Arabidopsis thaliana: one gene and its partners. The protein of the gene in region 4 interacts with the protein of the main gene of each other region in a pairwise test. Each region holds a gene or a part of one and is shown on either strand. Other genes may lie near its edges.

Evidence for each region.
Region 1: the proteins of YLMG2 (region 4) and EMP1 interact in a protein complementation assay, tested with the Arabidopsis thaliana proteins (one large-scale study listed by BioGRID).
Region 2: the proteins of YLMG2 (region 4) and AT1G52550 interact in a protein complementation assay, tested with the Arabidopsis thaliana proteins (one large-scale study listed by BioGRID).
Region 3: the proteins of YLMG2 (region 4) and AT1G15610 interact in a protein complementation assay, tested with the Arabidopsis thaliana proteins (one large-scale study listed by BioGRID).

Annotation. Positions count from the first base shown.
Region 1 is NC_003076.8:3,423,869-3,430,120, forward strand, and holds EMP1 (Endomembrane protein 70 protein family), read right to left. Parts: upstream 4,030-6,252; 5' UTR 3,930-4,029; coding exon 3,792-3,929; intron 3,312-3,791; coding exon 3,147-3,311; intron 3,045-3,146; coding exon 2,935-3,044; intron 2,840-2,934; coding exon 2,728-2,839; intron 2,645-2,727; coding exon 2,532-2,644; intron 2,452-2,531; coding exon 2,301-2,451; intron 2,200-2,300; coding exon 1,042-2,199; 3' UTR 820-1,041; downstream 1-819. Other genes in the region: AT5G10830 (S-adenosyl-L-methionine-dependent methyltransferases superfamily protein), read left to right, coding at 1-12, 146-781; CBSX3 (Cystathionine beta-synthase (CBS) family protein), read right to left, coding at 5,305-5,447, 5,551-5,611, 5,693-5,766, 5,852-5,933, 6,014-6,252.
Region 2 is NC_003070.9:19,571,872-19,576,347, forward strand, and holds AT1G52550 (uncharacterized protein), read right to left. Parts: upstream 2,189-4,476; 5' UTR 2,129-2,188; coding exon 1,885-2,128; intron 1,466-1,884; coding exon 1,314-1,465; 3' UTR 884-1,313; downstream 1-883. Other genes in the region: AT1G52540 (Protein kinase superfamily protein), read right to left, coding at 1-13; AT1G52560 (HSP20-like chaperones superfamily protein), read right to left, coding at 2,912-3,330, 3,616-3,895.
Region 3 is NC_003070.9:5,368,699-5,372,784, reverse strand, and holds AT1G15610 (uncharacterized protein), read right to left. Parts: upstream 2,029-4,086; 5' UTR 1,993-2,028; coding exon 1,601-1,992; intron 1,525-1,600; coding exon 1,399-1,524; intron 1,320-1,398; coding exon 1,106-1,319; downstream 1-1,105. Other genes in the region: AT1G15600 (uncharacterized protein), read right to left, coding at 3,024-3,201, 3,305-3,433, 3,507-3,862.
Region 4 is NC_003076.8:7,240,270-7,245,146, forward strand, and holds YLMG2 (YGGT family protein), read right to left. Parts: upstream 2,612-4,877; 5' UTR 2,497-2,611; coding exon 2,191-2,496; intron 1,814-2,190; coding exon 1,611-1,813; coding exon of another isoform or gene 1,607-1,610; intron 1,572-1,606; exon of another isoform or gene 1,328-1,571; coding exon 1,081-1,327; 3' UTR 932-1,080; downstream 1-931. Other genes in the region: AT5G21900 (RNI-like superfamily protein), read left to right, coding at 1-69; AT5G21910 (uncharacterized protein), read left to right, coding at 520-858; PAA2 (uncharacterized protein), read left to right, coding at 2,860-3,481, 3,580-3,657, 4,030-4,127, 4,214-4,267, 4,388-4,474, 4,563-4,727. UniProt on the Arabidopsis thaliana protein: Not required for the biogenesis and accumulation of native cytochrome b6 in the thylakoid membrane. Not functionally involved in the pathway for covalent binding of the c-type heme to cytochrome b6.

The DNA of each region.
Region 1 (6,252 bases), 3.8 Mb from region 4:
GCAGCTCTCGCCGTCAGTATTTGATGCTCATAAATTTTTATAGAGCTTCAAACTTAGATTTAACAGATTTAGCTTCTTGCTCGTAAATGATCACAACAACATGCATCAGATCTTGGATTTGACAAATTTCGCCTCCATTTTGCAGGTTGCAGAGCATTACGAGAGTGTCGTAGCAACGGACGTGAGTGAATCGCAGCTGAAGCTAGCAACGCCACATCCGAAAATCAATTATCGCCATACGCCGACGTCAATGACCGACGACGAGCTAGTGGAATTAATCGGAGGAGAAAACTCAGTGGATCTAATCACGGTCGCCCAAGGCGTACACTGGTTCGATCTCCCTAGGTTCTACTCAGTGGCCACACGACTCCTCCGTAAACCAGGCGGAATCATCGCTGTCTGGGGATACAACGACGTCATAGTGAGTCCAGAGTTCGACGCCGTCCAGTATCGGCTCCACGCCACAACGCTGCCGTTTTGGAAGTATCCGTACATTCAGCACATCTTCGATTCGTACGAAGCATTGCCGTTTCCTTTCGAAAATGTTGGGATGGGATCAGAAGGGGAGCCATTAAAGCTGGAGATGCCTAAAACGACGTCGTTTGAAGGGATCATAAGGATGTTTAAATCATGGTCGGCCATCGTCACGGCGAGAGAGAAAGGCGTCGAGTTGTTACCGGAGAGTTTGGTGAGAGAGCTTGAAACCGCTTGGGGAGGTTCTGATCTGGTTCGTTCCGTCGTTTACAAAGCTTTTATGATTGCAGGAAAAGTTAGAGTTTGATATCACCAAACCATGATTGATTGTTGTTCTCATTTGAGTTTATTTATAAAAATTGGTTATATTGCAAAAATTCTCAGAAAGTGTTGTTATTTGACAAATCAAACAAAATACACTCTATTACATATATTAAAATCTCTTTTGGTATGCAACAAAATAGAACCTAAAATGCAACAAAACCGATTTTAAAAAGAAAAATAAGATAAACTATGATCACCTTTTCTTCTTTGTTTCCTTAATCGCCATGATGATCATCATATCCTCTAATCGATCTTAACAGAGGAATAGATGAGCCTTGTGAACCAGAGACAAGCATAGAACCCTATTGTTCCTGTGAGCACAAAAAATGCGTAGGAGGCGATGAGCATGTACCCAAAGTAAAGCATCGCAGAGACCAGTTTGGTGATCTGAAGCTTTGTGAAGAAGTAGAACGTGGCATAGAGGAAGAGGTAGAGAGCTGATGAGCCTGATGTGAGGTATGATCTCCACCACCAAAGGTAGTCCTCACTGCAAAGCTGGAAGTAGCAGAGTACTACGGTTATCTCGGCGCAAGTCACAATGAGGATTACAAAGACGAGGAAGAGGAACCCAAAGATGTAGTAGAACTGGTTGAGCCAGATGGATGTGAGGATGAAGAAGAGCTCGATGAAGACTGCACCAAACGGTAAGATTCCTCCAATGAGGATTGAGAAAACCGGGTTCATGTACCAAGCTTGCTCTGGGATTTGCCTCGGGATTTTGTTGGTTTTCACTGGGTCATCAGCCGCTGGCTTCTTGAACCCAATGTAACCCCCAACAAAGACGAGAGGAACTGAGATGCCAAACCAGAGGAAGATCAAGGCGAACATTGTTCCAAAGGGGACAGCCCCAGATGACTTCTGTCCCCAGATGAGAGCGTTTAGGACAAAGAAGATTGCTGACACAACTGCAGGAAACAAGAAGGCTGTTCTGAAAGCGATTCTCTTCCACTCTGTTCCTTTGAACATTTTGTAGAGACGTGAAGAGGCGTAACCAGCAAAGAGTCCCATGAAGACCCAGAGCAAGAGCATTGCAGTCATCAGACCACCCCGATTGGAAGGGGAGAGAAATCCGAGCATGGCGAAGATCATTGTGACAAATACCATGCCTAGACACTGGACCCCTGTTCCAACATAGACGCAGAGCAGATCAGAATTGGTAGGAAGTCTGAAAACATCACCATGGACAAGCTTCCATCCTGTCTCTTCTTGAGCTTCTTCTTGAGTCTCGAGCTCGTTGTATCGTGAAATGTCACGGTAAAGGGTCCTCAGCATTATCATTGCCACCATACCAGATAGGAATAGGACGATCATCAGAGAATTGACGATAGAGAACCAGTGGATTTGGTTATCACTCATCAGAAGATAAGTATCCCATCTAGATGCCCACTTCACTTCACTTTCCTGGACAGAAACAGAAGAGGAAATCAGAAAAACTATTGAAAACAAGAATTCATGAAATTTTTTTAAGACACAAACCGCAGATTACTTAAGAAAAAACTTGCCTGGAAATCGACGTCATATGTGAAGATAATCTCCTTCTTTTGTTCAACTTCTTGAGGGGTAGCCGAGCTAACGACCAGGCGTTTCGTGTGAGGATCACAAGTCGTCAGACGGGTCTTCTCACTCCACTCTCCCTCATACTCATGCTTCACACTACAAATCAACGGAGGGAATATCAGTTCTGAATGACAGGGGATCCCAAGAGACATTCAAATTATGAACAAGAACTGCACCTGTAAGGTTTAACCTCAAATCCCACGATTCTTGCAGCATCAGTTTGGATATCTCTGTGATAGCGGACTGTAAATGCCAAGTGATTGTGCATAAAGAACTTCTGCTCTTTGCTCTGCGTATGCAAAAACAAAATTAGAAAATCGAACGATCTAGCATGAATTCCATTTAGTGTCTTAACAATTAAAACCTACTTACCCCCTCGTACTGGCCTTTAAGACCAACATGATAACCAAGCTGATAAACAACAGAGGGAGAACCCTGGTCGACTCTTTCAATTGGAACAACCAGAGGAAGGTTGTCGAGGATCCTAACACAGACCAGAAACACTTATAATAAAACTGACAGAGAAAAGCATGTTCTTCATACAAATAATCAAAGAAAAGTGCCTGTATTTGGTCTTACATGTTGACCCGGTACTCATCATCGATCTTTTCTTTAAACGCTTTAGCTGTCTTGGCATCAAGAGTGACCCGGCCGAGAATATTGCACATTTGTGCCTCCCGCATTTTAAACTGCAATTGTTTCAGCCCCGCAAGGGTTAGAGTTAAATCACAGACATAATATTTTTGACAGCCTGATGAATTACAAAATTAAAAATTGAATACGAGACTAACCGAGTATGGGGCATTCTCAATCCGGTCACCCCGAAGCACTTCTCCAAGATTCTCAGTACTGTCCACAATCTTGCTAGGGCGACAAAAAGGAAGGGAGTAATACGAGTATGGAAGCTGAGTCTTTATGGAAGTTAATTTATTCACTTTCACCTTCAGCTCATCACCCTGCAACATACAAGAAAACAAGACTCAAAATTTGAATATGATTTTGAAGTGAAACATGCAAGTCTACTTTGATTGAGACTCGTCATATAACATGCAGGACCGACATTGCCCTTGTACCCATAACTTGGATTTCGTAGTAATGGCAAGCGAATCAAGAGCGAGAGATCACTAAGAACCTAACAAAGGTAATCAAAATTACAGCGAATAAGGCTAATCCAGAAGAATAAATATCGATATAGCTCGCCTAAGACGCTACATTGTTCAGATCGAGAGATTAGTGAAGCGGAAATGAAGTGAAATCACCAATTCTATTAGAAAAATAGCTAAACCAAAAGTCGGTGCATCAGCACTCCAACTCTCACTATCTCTAGCTTTCTCGGGAATCAAGAACGGATTAATCCTAGCGGAAATCGAAACGCAGATCCAGGAGATCCAAATCAGATCTAAAAGCCTAGAAGCACAAATTCGAAACGTTTTTACCTTCTCGAAATCCTGAGGAGCAACACCTGGGAGATAGAATGAGTGAGCTCCATGGATGAAGAGCAGAAAAATCAAAGCGATCGCGCATCCAGAAGATTCCAATATTCTTCTACTGCTCCTCAGAAACTCCATAGCCATGGCTGTTCCACACGAAGGAAGAAAATAACCAGATCTGAAGCTACGCTACAGTTGTATTTGACTCTTATACGCTTCGAGACTCGAGACCAAGACCCGCCTCTAATTGTGATTTAATACTTCCCGGTTTATTTTTCCGGTTTGGCTCGTTTATGTTTGATCCTTATCAACCATTAATAATTCACCACGTCACTACGCATGAAGTCTTTCTACGAGCTATAAGCCTACATAACCAATGGGCCTAACTCGATAAGCCCACCCTAGGATAAACCAATCCGATAAACCATGATTAATTAAAGTCAATCAAGATTTTTAAGCATTTGCTATACATTTTTAAGATTGTGTTAAAATGTGGTCTCAATATAATCGATAGAGAGAAAATGGGCGACGCCGCCGGAGGCTTGAGATCTGAAACGCAAGATGTGACCATGACGGACCTAGGAGAGAAAGGTCATTCTCCGGGAGACCCTCCTGATGCACCGGGTTCGTGGGTGAAGAAAGTGGTGGGGGGACATTTAGGTGGTATCCTAAATCCGAATGATATCTTAGATGATGAGTTTGTGTCTGAGCAAATGACACTGGAGTTCCCTGATGGTGAGGATGGAGAACCAGTGATAACAATTGGCAGTGAGGTATTGGCGGCGATGAATGGTTTGTTGAAGAACAGCTTGATCGTGAAAGTGCCCGGGCGTAACATGACAATATCAGCATTAAGTAGAAAGCTTCGAGAGATGTGGAAACCACGAGGAGCAATGTCTGTTGTGGATCTCCCTCGTAAGTTTTTCATGATTCGGTTCGAAGCGGAGGAGGAATACATGGCAGCGTTGACAGGAGGTCCATGGAGGGCGTTTGATCGCTATCTCATGGTGCAAGCTTGGTCACCGGAGTTTGATCCCTTGAGAGACGATATTGTGACCACACCATAATCGATTTGATTTGAAGAAAATCTATCGTTTTATATTTTGCCTTGGTTTACTTGTTTGTATTCAAAGAATTGGTTTACTTGTTAAGATATTTTTCATGGTCCAAAGACACGGAAACTTTGTACCGAAATCAAATTTTCAAAGTAATTCTATTATTTCATAACACACATGGATACTTGACGCAAGATTTGATAACAAAAACAAACATCATATCTTTCATAAAGAGATCAGAGTTTTTGGTTTTATTCTCTTGCTAAGTAAGCGCAAGAAGAGAAGCAGCACAAGGCCTTAGTTTTGACAAGTTAAACAACGAAACAACACAAAACATCAAACACAACAACAACAACAATAACAACGAGGACTGCATATTTACACTGATCTGGAAGCTTTTCAGATTCAGCAGCACAAGACCAGACGACACAACAGGGAACTCTTTTCTTTCCATTATTCAAGATCTAGTAACCTCCCTGAATATACGCATTTAGGCGTTGAAGCTCCTCTCTATGCTCATGAACCACTGCACGGACAACATCTCCTATGGACACCATTCCAATCATGCCCTTGTCTTTGATTACCGGAATATGCCTGATTCGGTTATCTGTACATTACAAAAACACAAACCCGCATTTTTATTTGCTTCAGTAGGTTTTAAACCCAAAAGCTTGTATCTTTAGTGGAAAAATATCAAGTTGTCTGCTTACCTGTCATCAGTTGCATAGCACGCAAGACCTTGGTCTCCGGTGTCACAGTGATAAGCTTATTCTGCAATTGCCAGTTCACAGATCCAGTCAGTTTCAATCCACAAAAGCAAAAAAAAAATCGTACAATCGTGCATTTACATACCTCTTCAGTCATAATGTCTCCAACTTTTGTTGATTTGGATGATCTCCCTTGCACAATGATCTTCCGTAGATAATCTAGAGAAATCACAATGCCGAAAAGTGAATCACACATACCACAAGACACAACAAAAAAATTATTAATGATTAGATCTAATTTTACCTCTCTCTGTAATGATACCAGCAAGAGCTTGTTGCTCACCAGGTTTCACAACCACCAAGGCACCAACATTGTGTTGTGTCATCTAAACAAAATCAAACACAATCAATTCCAAATCCACATCGAGATATCTAAAAAAGGAAAAAGAGAGTAGTATAAGCATACGGATTTAACAGCATCATAAACAGTGTCATCAGTAGTACACCAAAGCCAAGATCCATCAGCACTTTTGCCTTTGGATTTCATGACATCGGAAATAGTTGTGCTCTCGAATCCAGATTCCTCCATACGTGCAGGTTGAGTTGATTCAGAGCGTGAACAAAACACAGAAGGCTGAATCGCCGGGTTAATCACACGGAGATGTTGCAGCACAGAGCCTTTCACAACATTTCCACCGGAGACGA
Region 2 (4,476 bases), on a different chromosome or scaffold from region 4:
TAAAAATTTGCATCTTTGAACAAACCCAGAAACAAAACAAAAAAATCTCTCAAATTCAGCTCCTTTAGCTCTACACGCTTCCTCGTTGATGCAGAGAGAGTAAAGGTAACGCCTTTTTCCTGAAGAATGTAACAGCAAAGCAAGAAAAACGAAACTCCTTTGATGCTTAATGAGAGAGAGAGTCGCTTTTACTTCTGTAAGAAGAGAAACAAATTTTCTTAGAATATTCTTCAATGCTTAACCCCTTTTTGAATGTGGTTGTGTGTGTTTAGCTGTTTTAATTTGAAAAAAATTATACACTTTATTAAACTATTAGTGGGAATGATTGTGCATATCCACACATAGTCACATATAGTATTTATATAGTAATAATTTCATCAAAAGGTATTGTTTTTTGAATTTCAAAGATTTCCTTTTCATGGCCTGTTGATGACACATGACAACTAATCAAAGTTTCCTAATCACACACCTCACCTTGGTGAATCTGTACTTACAAAATCTTGCAATTTTTAATACATACAAAAGTTCAAATACTAGTTTTTTTTATTGTGTATGAAGAAGATCTCTAGATATGGAAATTTATTTGCTATAATCAGAACAAATATAAATTAAACATAGCATAAAATCTTAATTTAGATAGATTGTTAAATTACTCAGTGTGGTCAGAACAAAATGTTAGGCTCTTATCATAAATTTCTGTTTCTAAACTTACTACCAGCCTTTAACCAAAACAGGTCCAACTAATCATGAGCTGGTTAATTCATTGTCCCAGTATTGAATAAGGTTTACCTAAATCCAGTTATTTCTTTTTTCATATCATGAATAAACAACCACTGTTTTAAATATAAATCAAATAATAATTAAATACAACTTTGGAAATATTATATTATATAGAGAGGCCCAATAAAAGAGTATGTTGAAGCCCAAACAAGTTATATAACATATCTAAAGGCCCATTTTATACAACAAACATTCAAATCAAAGAAACGGTGCGGTTTACCGTTTGGCTGAATCAAGCACACACCAAACACATCTAGTCATTTACAATCTGAAACAGCTTTCAATAAACAATGATATTGATTTGGCATTTTGACTTAAATGCAAACTACTTTAGTTTCATCACAGTAGAGTAATCTCTATAGCTCTAAGCTAGAGATATCGTAAGAAGAGAACAATCTAGTTTCTAGTATAAAACTGTAGTCTGACAAGAAATTTGCTTTACTTGGAAGAATATTTCCTCTGTATATATACACAAACGTGTAGAGGAGTTTTCATCAATCATCATCATCATCACCACACCAATCTAACTAATACTATTTGAAGCGTGAACCCTTCTTCCCTTTACCATTACCTTTGCTGCCTCTTCCTTGTAAAGCCGAAGCCCAAAAGAAGAGAGAGATCCAAATTAGTACTGAAAGAAAGATCTTTACACGGTCTTGAATCATCGACGCTACTCCCACAAGACCTACACAAAATGTGATACCAAACAACAACTATGAATCCAAATTGTTAAGAAGATTGCTCTCGTATTGCAACCAATGACTAAACCTGTAGGGAAAAGAAAATGGTGGAACTTTTGGAAGACATTCACAAGTTGTAAAAGGAGGAGATTTATAAATCCTTAATGCTTAACAAGAGTAAAAGTCTATAAATTGTCACAAAGATCAAAACTTTAGCAATGAACAGTAATCGATCTTGAGGACTAAGATTAACATCTTTATCTACGAATCAATAGCAGTTAAACCACCTTCATTCTCCTAATTCGAATTCCGTAATGCAATTTCATCGAATTAGGAAAGATTGAAAAATAGAATTGGCAGTAAACAAAATCAGAACTCAGAGTTGAAACATTGAAGTTTTAAGGGTAAGAAGGGAAAGACGAACTTGTGAGCTCAGTCGTGTTTTTAGGCGGAGGTGGGTCGGGACTAGGCGGCGTTGGAGGGCCGAGAGGAGCGACCGCGATGCGTCGTACAGGTTTTGGAGTGGGGACGAGGAAAAGGGTCTGAGAAGGAAGTGGAGACGACCGGAACGGTGAAAAGAACGACGGAGATGGAAGAGGATGGTTTTTACGGCAGCGATGGAGGTAAAGGTTGGAGCTTGAAGTCGTGTTGGCAAACGCCGTCGCCATTTTCTTCACAAGGTATTTTGGACCTTGTTTTGTTTTCTCATTATTTTAATTTTAATTTATGTATACATTATCAAAAAAATGTTTTTGGTTTTTTCCTTCTTAATACCAAACTAAAAGAAGGAAAATGAAATATTTTCTATAATTTTCCACAAACTATTGAAATATCATGCATTTTTGTTTAACATAAATATTGTGTTTTCTTGACGACAAAAAAAAAAAATATTGTGTTTTCTTTAAAGAAACTGAACTCTGACAATACACTAAAATACTGTACTTATTAATAAATAAATAATTTAATGTATAACATAACTTGTCTATAAAGAAAAATATTTCATAGTATAGTATAGCAAATCCACAATTATTAATACAAAATTTACAAATAAAATTTTGATATGAGGTACAAAAATGGACTTCTTGTTTAATATATCAACATTTTTGTGTTCATGACGTGAATTAGCAATTTACTCCATTGAGCCATTCGCATAGAAAACATAAAAGGGACACAACATTTGCTGCTTCTTTTAATTAATTTTGGCTTCTTTCTTTTGCGAAAATTAACTATGCTGAATAACAATTTATTCCATTCTCATTACAAACACAAAACTGGTTCATTCTTTGCTTGTTCAATTAGTCTATAATGTATTTTCTAGCTTCTTTTGTTTGCGCAAATGAACTAAGTTAATTAGCAACTTAATAACTGATTCCATTCGCATAAACATAAAAAAGGTACAACATTAATTTGCTTAGTCCATCAAAGAACACAAAAACGACACCGTATCTCTTCTACTCAACAGAAATCTCCTGAACATTCTTCTTTGGCTTCTCCGTCCTAGGAATCACAAGATTAAGCACACCATTCTTGAGCTCCGCCTTAATGTCCTCAACCTTAGCATCATCAGGCAACGATAAGCTCGTGTTGTAGTAACCATAACTCTTTGAAGACCAGTACTCGTCTTCCTCAGGTGAGCCTTTCTCTTCCTCCGCCTTGTGATCTCCTTTAATCGTCAAGATTCCATCATTTACCGTGATCTTCACGTCTTCTTTGGTTAGCCCTGGAACCTCGTATCTGAGCTTGTAACAGTCGTCTTGCTCTTTCACTTGACCCATTAGTTGGAATGGATTCACGTTGAAGTTGTCGAAAATTCTGTTCATATTCTCTGTTGCTTGTATCAGAGTATTTCCTATAGTCGGAGGAAAGAACTCTGTTTTAAGAAGAAGAAAAAATTCAATTCAAGCAAAAATAGAGGTTTACATTAATTATGTTTCATGAGATTTAATGCAATGAAAATGTAAATTTAAAATTTGATGTATTTTTATGATTCTAGAATTTCAAATTTTCTTCTTAATTTTTCTTTTATGGGATATATTTTACACTTAAATGTTGAATTTTTTTTATATAATTTATTTCGAAAATATTATTATTGTGACACTATTGAAATTTTCTGCTAAATAGGTATATCAATAATGAACTAAAATGACAAACGTACCATTTAGGGTGGGAGTGAAGTAGCCATGATCGTCGGTGTTACGCCAGAGGCTTTTTCGGCCACGTCTCCGGGGGAAATTCTGTCGAGGAGATTTCTTCTCAGACACACTCACTTCTGTGTTCATCTTATCCTCTTGTTCACCAGCCGAAGTAGCCATGAATCTGTTTAGCTTCATTGGATTATGTCGATTTCCGACCAAACCTCTTTCACAAGATTGACCCATCAAACTAGGAGACAGTTTTTGTTGAAGGTTTCTCAAAGCCAGACGAGCTAGAGCCATTGTTTTCAAATCGGTAAATTTCTTAATTTTTGTCTTCTTGTCTTCTTTTTTGTGAGTTTGCAAGAAAAAGGCAAGAAGTGTTTGGTTTATAAAGATGGGATTAGGGTTTATGCTAAAAGGTTGGTTTCTAAGAGGTGTTAGAAGTTTCTAAGAGTTTCTGGTTCATTTGGGAACATAAAACAGAGATGCTTCTTGTTTCTTCTACAGCCCTTTTTCTAGATAATCACAACAAGGTTATTTTATTATCAATATTTGTTTTCTTTGAATAGTTAAAACGAAGAAAATCATGACACAAGACCAACCGCCTTGACCTTGCAATTCCTAGAAAGTAGAAAGACCCAAAATCTTTCAAATTATTCTTGAAATTTGTTTTTGGATAACTTATTTCAACAAAACTAACAACATAATTAATATAAATATAGTCATATGGATTTTGGTTTTGTGTTAAGAACATTAAATGAATGTCAAACAATTGTGTCGATCAATATTTTATCAAAAACAAAAAAAAACAATTGTTTCGATCCAAACTTCTAATGGTAACTCTGTCCCCAATCTTTTTTTATAAATCAACTCTGCAACAT
Region 3 (4,086 bases), on a different chromosome or scaffold from region 4:
TAATTTTGGTATAAGAATTAATAACAAATTCTTATACCCAAAAAAAAACATAAAAGCATAGATATGTCCGATTCGTTGGAGCTAAATTATTATCTCGAGACCAACTGACCAATTCCAATTCTACGTTAATTATAGTCATTTATAATAAAATGGTTATGATATTATTTGGTGCTAAATTAGTAGTTTTTTTTTTTTAAGTTATAGACTTAAAGTGAAACACAAAGCCTAGACGGAACCTTTTGTGCCATTTTAAGACCAATATACAGCATCATTAATCTTTTAAAAGTCAATTAAGTTAACTTCCACGTCGTTATGACAGCGACAGTTAATGGAAGGTAGCCAGAGAAGTCACTGAAGAAGAAGGTGGTTCTTCAAAATCGGATCATATTGATGAGATTAAATTGTTTGTTGTGCAGAGGTATTGGCGCACAAAGATCGAGTGTTAAATTGTTTAGTTGAATAAAAGTTCGCAACATTGCACTACATTTTGATGTGTGCTTTAATTTAAAGGCTACCTCTGCTCTGCATGCGACCATTCAAGTTTTCATGTATTATTCCACTCCATAATTGACCCCCAAGGCCCCAACTGATGCAAAAACACTAATATTTGGTTACGGCTGATTTCTTCAGTCATATATATGTGAAAAACCAATTAATGGTCTTCACACTCCCATATAGCAGGTTATCTATTAGTGCCCTTAACCGAACCCGATCGAGATTGATTGAAGTCATATCATCTCTATCAAGTAGTTATCATCTTCAGGTTCCTTGTGGGTTGTTTGATAGCATAAGAACATATATGTTATGGGTGCACTCTTAAAAAGAATTGTCGGGCGTGCCACATGCTGTCTCAACATGAAGCGCTTCATCAAGATGGCCAAAGAGGCCTTTTACAATAGACAAACCAGTTGTACATGTTGAAATGCAGATACTGAAATGTTTATCTTGCTGCAGAGATATTGGTACAGAGAAGCCTTTAGTTTCAGTTTTGCCGGCCATTTCAGGAATAGAGGATTCGGTAATGCTAATGACACTTGGCTTTATTTAATAAATAGAAAGAGAGTATTACAACAATTGTTGAAGAAAACAACATGATCCATCATTTTTATCCGCACATTCCAATGATCCACGAAAAGGTTAACGCAAAGAGTCCAATGATGACCAAAAAGAGTGAGAGTAACGAATTAATCATCGTTACTATGGCGGCCACAAGTGCAGTAACAAGGGACACCCCAGGCAACATGAATAACTGTACGGTAAATTGGAAATTAGGAAGCACATATCGAATGCAACTGAAAGCAAGTAGACCCAGCCATAACCTGGAAAAGGACATTTGTTAGTTCTAGAGAGGTAAATTATGTTGTTTAGCCATAATTGTAAATTTAGTTAGATGCGCACCAGAAGTGTCGACTAGTATCTTGACGTGATGATGACTCGGTTAGAATATGCCATAAAGACACCACAATCAAGGACACGAAGAAAGATTCAAGAAAATTTTCCAAACGGTACTCCATCACCTCGTTGCTGCAAATCAATAAAAACCATTGTTGAGGATATCAGTCTCTAATGCCTGAAAAAGAAAAAGAAACACAGTTTATACCTTGTCTCTGAGCTAGCGTTTTGGATATACTGCCATAAACGGCAACATACAAAAGGCAAAGTGGCAATAGAGGCACAAGTATAAAAGATGATCCATGTAAACAAAGCTACATCTAGTTCTGGATCTCGTTCATCTTTTGTTAGAATCAGAAAAAATATGGCTGCAACAATCTGGACCAAAGTCACAGCTAACTCGACCAAAATCCAGAAACTTCCACTTGTAAATGGACAACTCCATTGAAATGCCTCATGTGGAGTTTGCTCATGATCAGCTGATGACGAACCGCCATTGATTGTAATGTCGATGATGTGCTCATCATTTGAGGAAGAATCGCCATGGATTGTAACGTCTTCGACGTTGTGCTCACTCTTGGTTAACAAAGGGCCCTCCATTGATCACTTTTTTGCTTTCTTCTATTTTGTCCAATCGAATTAATAGTTCATCTAAACAAGCGTTGAAATACAAATTACATAAAGCCCTCTCCGATTCTTTGGTGCTAAATTATTATTCTAAGACCCAATCTACGTCAAGATCTATTCTATAAGTCAATTGTAAACTTCTAACGAACAAAAAAAAAGTTAGTCATTCTTCTCTAAATACGAATAATAGACATTTCCAGCTATATTATTATCTTAAGACCTAATCGACACCAATACCAATTCTAAGTCAATCACATAAAGTCCTTTACAATGAGTAGACTTTCGGAGCTACATTTGTTTTGTGTGTTTTTGTTTTACCTACACCAAGACCAATTATTAGTCAATTGTAGCCCGTTAGAGTAAAATTTCAAAATATTTGGTTCTAAATTATAGTCTTCCTAATTCTTTGGTGCTTGATGTATTATTTGGGAAGCTAGAAGAAGTAATATGTCTTTTTTGTAAAAGGAGAAATCTTTGGTGTTAAATTTTATTATTTGGGAAACTATAATATTTTATTATTTTTCTTAGTTATCTTATCTTTGGTGTTAAAGTTATCTATATATCCATTTCGATTTACCCAAATCTGTCAAAATAATAAGGCCTATAAAAGGTTATTCTGAAACACGTGATTATTTGGGTAAATGTCACAATGAGGTAGGACTCGACTCGAAATAAGTCAGATTTTAAAAAGCCCATTAAAGTACGGGCCCTTAAAATACATATCTGAATAGCGAAAACGCACGAATAAGAATGGTCAGTCAAAACTGTCATTTAATGGAGAATAATATTAACGAGGGAGAAAAATAAAATAAAAAGAGGAAATAAGACGAGATGATCATATTTGATCATTTCAAAAAACCTTAGCTACTGTTTTTCTCTACCTTAATAAGATTAAAATCATCAACATGAACACAAAACATTTTTATTCTGGTACTCTGCTTTACTTTGATTTTAAACGCCCATTCTCCTAGGCTTACAAACAAAATATTTTTATTAGTTCGATTTCAGCAGATGCATGATACAATGCATGCTACAATGCCTTTTAAGACTTCCACAGCAAGGAGAACACATATGACCACAGGCGTAAGTAAAAGCAAAGGAGTAGTATAACAGACCATTGCCAATGTTAGATTAAAAAGAACATATCTAATGCAACTGAAAGTAAGGAGAGCCAAACATAACCTGCAAAAGAGACAATGAAGAAGGCCAAAGGCATGAGTATAAGAAAGGTCAATATATACGTTTTAAGGTATACATATGATTGGAAATTTCGTTTGATACGCACCAGAAGTATTGAGTTGTAGTATCATCTAGAGCTGATGAGTCGAATGCTTTGGAAGAAAGAATCCATAAAAACACCACATACCAACCCACGAAGAAACCCGTCATAAAAAAGTCCATATCCTTGTTGATTCTGCAAACCAATAAAACCATTATATCTCAATCTAATGCATAAAAAGATAAAAGAAAACACAATTTATATATACCTTGTCTCTCTTAAGTATTCATCTGTAGATTCGGAGCCAACGCTTCGGTTATAAAGCCAAAAACGCCAACATAGGATAGGGAGAGTGGCAATACAGCCACATGTATAACCGATGATCCATATAGACAACATTGTTTGTGGATGTTCTTCATCTCTTGGCTCAATCAGAACGATTATGACCGCAGCAATCAAGACCAAAGTCACAACAAACTCGATTGAATTACAAATGCTTTCATTTGTGTATGGATCACCCAATTCAACACCCTCGTGTGGTTGCTGACCATCAATTGATGAAGAACTACCATCGCTTGTAATGTCAATGATGTGTTCACACTCGCTCAACAAAGGGCCCTCCATTGATCACTTTTGGTTTTTCCTATTTCTTGCCGATCAAATGAAAAGTTCATTCAAATTTGCGTTGACGAGCACAAAGCATATACCTTTCCTTCTTTGTTGATAAAATTATTAGTATTTTTTTAGACCAGATCAATACTAAGTACGTATTAGTCGTGTTACAAATAAAACATTATTTTGAAAAATGAAGATCAAAGCTGAGATTTCAATGTTTATATATATTGCAG
Region 4 (4,877 bases):
TTGAAACTGACTTCACTCTATGCTCACCTTGATAACTTTTACCCAAGTGTAGGTGCCAAGTTCTTCTGATGAGTAGACAACTGGCGTTTGTATATATAGCTTTGAATTGATGACCTTTCTTCATTGTTAGACCAAATTATAGCTGTTGTACAGGTTCATAGTAAAGAAAAAAAGATAGTGATATATGAACAATGTTACAATGTCTTTTAGAATCAGCTTTTTGTAAAAAGATTGAACTAATAGAAAGAGAAGAAAAGTTTTAAGCATATGATCCCTTGGAATATTTTTAGCAGTGTGTGGTCACAACTGTTCACCAGAAACGAAAGAATCTTCTTTCTCTCTTCTCTTTTTGAGTAAATAGCTAAACCATACCATCTAAACGGCTTTTTGAAACAATCCTGCAACTTGTGTTCAGATTCTTACCAAGAAACAAGCCATTTTAGTTCAGATGAACACCAACCGGGGATTGTAAAGAAAGTTACCAGTTGTTTTTATATATTTTGTACTGGCATTTTTCTGATGGAAACGGGATCATCCAGCCCGATGATGGGGAGGTTTACTACTTCCAGGAAGCTTTTGGCCATAAGCTTGTCGGTACTAGCCGTGCTCTCACCACTCTACATCGACAGATTATCAGAGGAAGATCTAGAAGAGGAAGAAGAACTCTTCAGCTTTATGTTTTCCTTCTCTCTGCTTCTCCTCTTGTTGATTTTAGCCATAGCCTTGTCCTTGTACAGTGACCCGAGCTTGACCAGGTTTGATCCTTACTGGATTCACAGGCTATGTGGTTCGTTTGGTGGATTGCTTGTCATCCTCATCCTTCTTGTTTTCGTCTTGATATGCAAAGCCTCTGGTTAGAATCTGAGCGAAAGTTGTTTTGATGCCACAAATGAAGAAGAAAAGCTCATCTCTTGCAAAATTTTTACAATATTTCTGTATGTCAGGAACACAACTCTTTTATTCATTTTCTAAAGAAAATTTATACAAAACTCAGAAATCCAAAGATACAGAGTAATAAAATTACTCGAAAGGTAGATTTTACATTTGAAGCGCAGAAAAGAGTAGATATTTTAGACAGGTTCAGGTCATAGAAGCTGAGCTCGGTCTGTGGTCTTTGTGGCTGCTCAACCTTCTCCTTCTCACCCACTTTGTCTCACTAGAAGCTGGAGAAACGGCTCCATCAGCTGACGGGAGTTCGCAAGGAAGTGCCATAGCCGAGCTGGTGAAGGCGTTGAGAACAAGGAACGCCAAAATGGGAGACAAATCTAATCCTCCAAGAGGCGGTATGAATCCCCGGAAAATGTTCAAGTATGGATCACATAAAGTGCTGAAACAATGGTAACGCATATACACATAAATAGGAATCAACTAGGGTTCCTGGGCAGATCAATCAGGGTTTAACCAATCTTTAATCCATTTAAGAGTTGGACAAAAAAGTAGTAGACAGAGTTTATCCAAAATAAATTTCCTCTAAATCAAGTAAAAAGACTACCTTCAACAATCACGAATAGGACTTCTATGATCTAGATTTTGTTTTCATGGATTGATCGAAAACTTTTAAACCTGGATAAGATATAAAATCATTGTGGCATTTGAAGGCAACGTTTTACCTGAGGGGGTTAACAATGGCAGGAGGAGCACTCGGGAACCAGGTGAGTACTAGACGGACGACAAGGATGGTGTTATATATGTTGAGGAAATTGATCAAACCATTAGCAACCACCAATCCTGCAACTGAATCTCCAGGCAGAACCGCTGCAAATCCGTGATTAGACATCGCAAACCTCACCCTTGTAGTGTTTCTCAAACGAATCTGCAATGCAACAAAATGATCTTCATCTTTAAGACATAAAGAACCCAAAACCAGAAGCAAAGGCACACAAAATCATAACCGGACTTATCCAGAAGCCAAGTTTCATCTTTACAAGAAAAGAACCAAAAAAGATCCCAACTTGAGGACATATATAACTCAGGGTTATCAATGTGAGAAGGTTTTCCAATAAATGCTAAATGATCTAGACAACAATCTACTGGCTGTTAAAGAATGACCCATTTTGTATAAATAGAAACCACAAAGATTCACCCATTACAGTAACAATCAGAGCCAAGGCAAGTTCATGAGAAACACACAATCATCTTCTTAACTTAATCCATAACATTCTTTAGCATAAGCAGGCTAAGAGAAGTTACCTCGTCGCACAAAATGTGAAATTCGGAAGATAGGCGAACCGCTTCCTGAAAGAGAGGGTTCTTAGAGGCGAGCGAATGGAGGAATCCTTTAAATTTCTCAGTAGCAGAAATCAGAGACTGATGAAAGTCTTGAATCAATTTGACGGAGTCTGCAACTGGTGGTAGAAGAAGCAAATTGGGTTTGTTCGAACGCACAAGAGGTGTTTGCGTAAATGCCGAAGAGAGCGATACGAAAAAGTTCGGTATCGGTCCTGAAGGATTGGATTTCAAGCTTTTCATAGCTGGTTCATTCGCACTCGCCTCCATTGTTGCAAAGCTCTAGATGTGTTGTAGAAGAAGAAAGCTTGAGAAGATAAAGTTACCTCCAAACAAAAAACAATATTTCAGGAAGATGACACGTGGCATCGCTGTGTCCCGGGGGCTGTAATCCTCTAGCTGAGTTAGAAGGTCTTACCTATTAAAACTTTGCGTTTTATGTCTCTCTCTGATTTTTCTGGTGACAGCCTGGCTTTTTAAAAATTCCACAAAAATGGCTAATGTTCGGATATATTCCAAATCCGACGTGTCAACGTTTAGCGATACTCTTTTTAACGAACCATACACCAGTCCACCACTAGTTTCTTACTTGTATACATCGCGTGACTATCGTCGTCTGTCTCGCCGGAGAAAATGGCGAGCAATCTTCTCCGATTTCCTCTTCCTCCGCCATCGAGTCTTCATATTCGTCCAAGTAAGTTCCTCGTGAACCGATGCTTTCCAAGACTGCGCCGTTCTCGTATCCGGCGGCACTGTTCGCGACCTTTTTTTTTAGTATCAAACTCGGTCGAGATAAGTACTCAATCATTTGAATCTACTGAATCTTCAATCGAATCTGTGAAATCCATTACGAGCGACACGCCTATTCTCCTCGATGTGAGTGGGATGATGTGTGGTGGCTGCGTCGCCCGAGTTAAATCGGTTTTGATGTCTGATGATCGAGTCGCGTCTGCTGTGGTTAACATGCTGACTGAAACCGCGGCTGTGAAGTTTAAACCGGAGGTTGAGGTGACGGCGGATACGGCAGAGAGTTTAGCTAAGAGATTGACAGAGAGTGGTTTTGAGGCTAAGAGGAGAGTCTCGGGTATGGGAGTGGCGGAGAATGTGAAGAAGTGGAAGGAGATGGTAAGTAAGAAAGAGGACTTGCTTGTTAAGAGCAGGAACCGTGTGGCGTTTGCGTGGACATTGGTGGCTCTGTGTTGCGGGTCTCACACTTCGCATATTCTTCATTCCTTGGGAATTCACATTGCTCATGGTACATTGATTATAATGCAAAAAAAATTGTGATGCTAGATGTCATTTGTTGGATAAGAGATGTAGTTTATGACTTTCTCTTGCACCTGATGTTACTAGGAGGGATTTGGGATTTGCTACACAACTCTTACGTGAAAGGTGGTTTGGCCGTTGGAGCTTTGTTGGGACCAGGAAGAGGTTTGCTTTTGTTTAAACTTTTAGTTCGAATCTATGATTCTTACCAGCTAATGCATAATAAGTTTAGTAATTAGTATCATAAGAGAGAGATGACAAAGTAGTCGTTCTTAGGCTATTGTTTAGACTTAGATAAGTGCTAGTGTTCTACTCTGATTATATAGGTGAGCTTTGTTGAATCAGTTCTTCTTATGGATAATGGTTAGCTTAATTGAGTCGTCGTTGTCATAAGAGAGAAACTCTGAATTTTCAAACTTCTTAAGTGATAGTGATGGTTCCTACTATTCTTTGCGACTTTCATAACAAAGTGGTGGTAGTGATATTTGAGGCTGTTCGGAAACACAAATGACTGAAACAGATAGATGTATATTGTAGAATTGCTGTTTGATGGCATAAAAGCTTTCGGGAAAAGATCACCTAATATGAACTCGTTAGTTGGATTGGGATCCATGGCTGCATTTTCCATCAGTTTGGTGAGTTTTTGTACCCTGTAATTTATATTTGACTGGTGAGTATCCTATTCTGAAAACCTGCAGTTTCTGCATTCTGAATTTTGCAGATCTCACTAGTTAATCCAGAACTGGAGTGGGATGCTTCCTTCTTCGATGAACCGGTGAGTTTCTCTAGCAGATCCACAAGAGGATGAAAGCTTTTTATTATTACTTCCACTACATGCAAAATACAGTTTCAATAGTAAATTTCTGATTGATAGCTCTTGTCATTTAGTATGCAGGTCATGCTGCTTGGCTTTGTGCTCCTTGGTCGTTCTTTGGAAGAAAGAGCAAAGCTTCAAGCATCTACCGATATGAATGAACTATTGGTATGTTAGACATTTCTTGATTCTCCTCCCAAGATTAACTTGTAGGCTTTTTCCTCCCTTTTTTTTGACTTGAAACGTATTTTTGCAGTCACTCATCTCCACTCAATCAAGACTTGTGATTACTTCATCAGACAATAACACCCCAGTGGATTCTGTACTTTCCTCTGATTCAATTTGCATCAATGTGTCAGTTGATGATATCCGAGTTGGAGACTCGCTATTGGTTTTGCCTGGTGAGACATTTCCTGTCGATGTAAGTGTTTCTGTCTTTCTGACATCTTACGATTTCCCTAGTTGCTTATCCATGCTGAATTGTCTGATCATAGCAAAAGATAATAGTGTGGGTTTCCGAAAAGAGTTATGAAAATCTATCTAAATGGTTGGTAACCATCATTCTGCAATT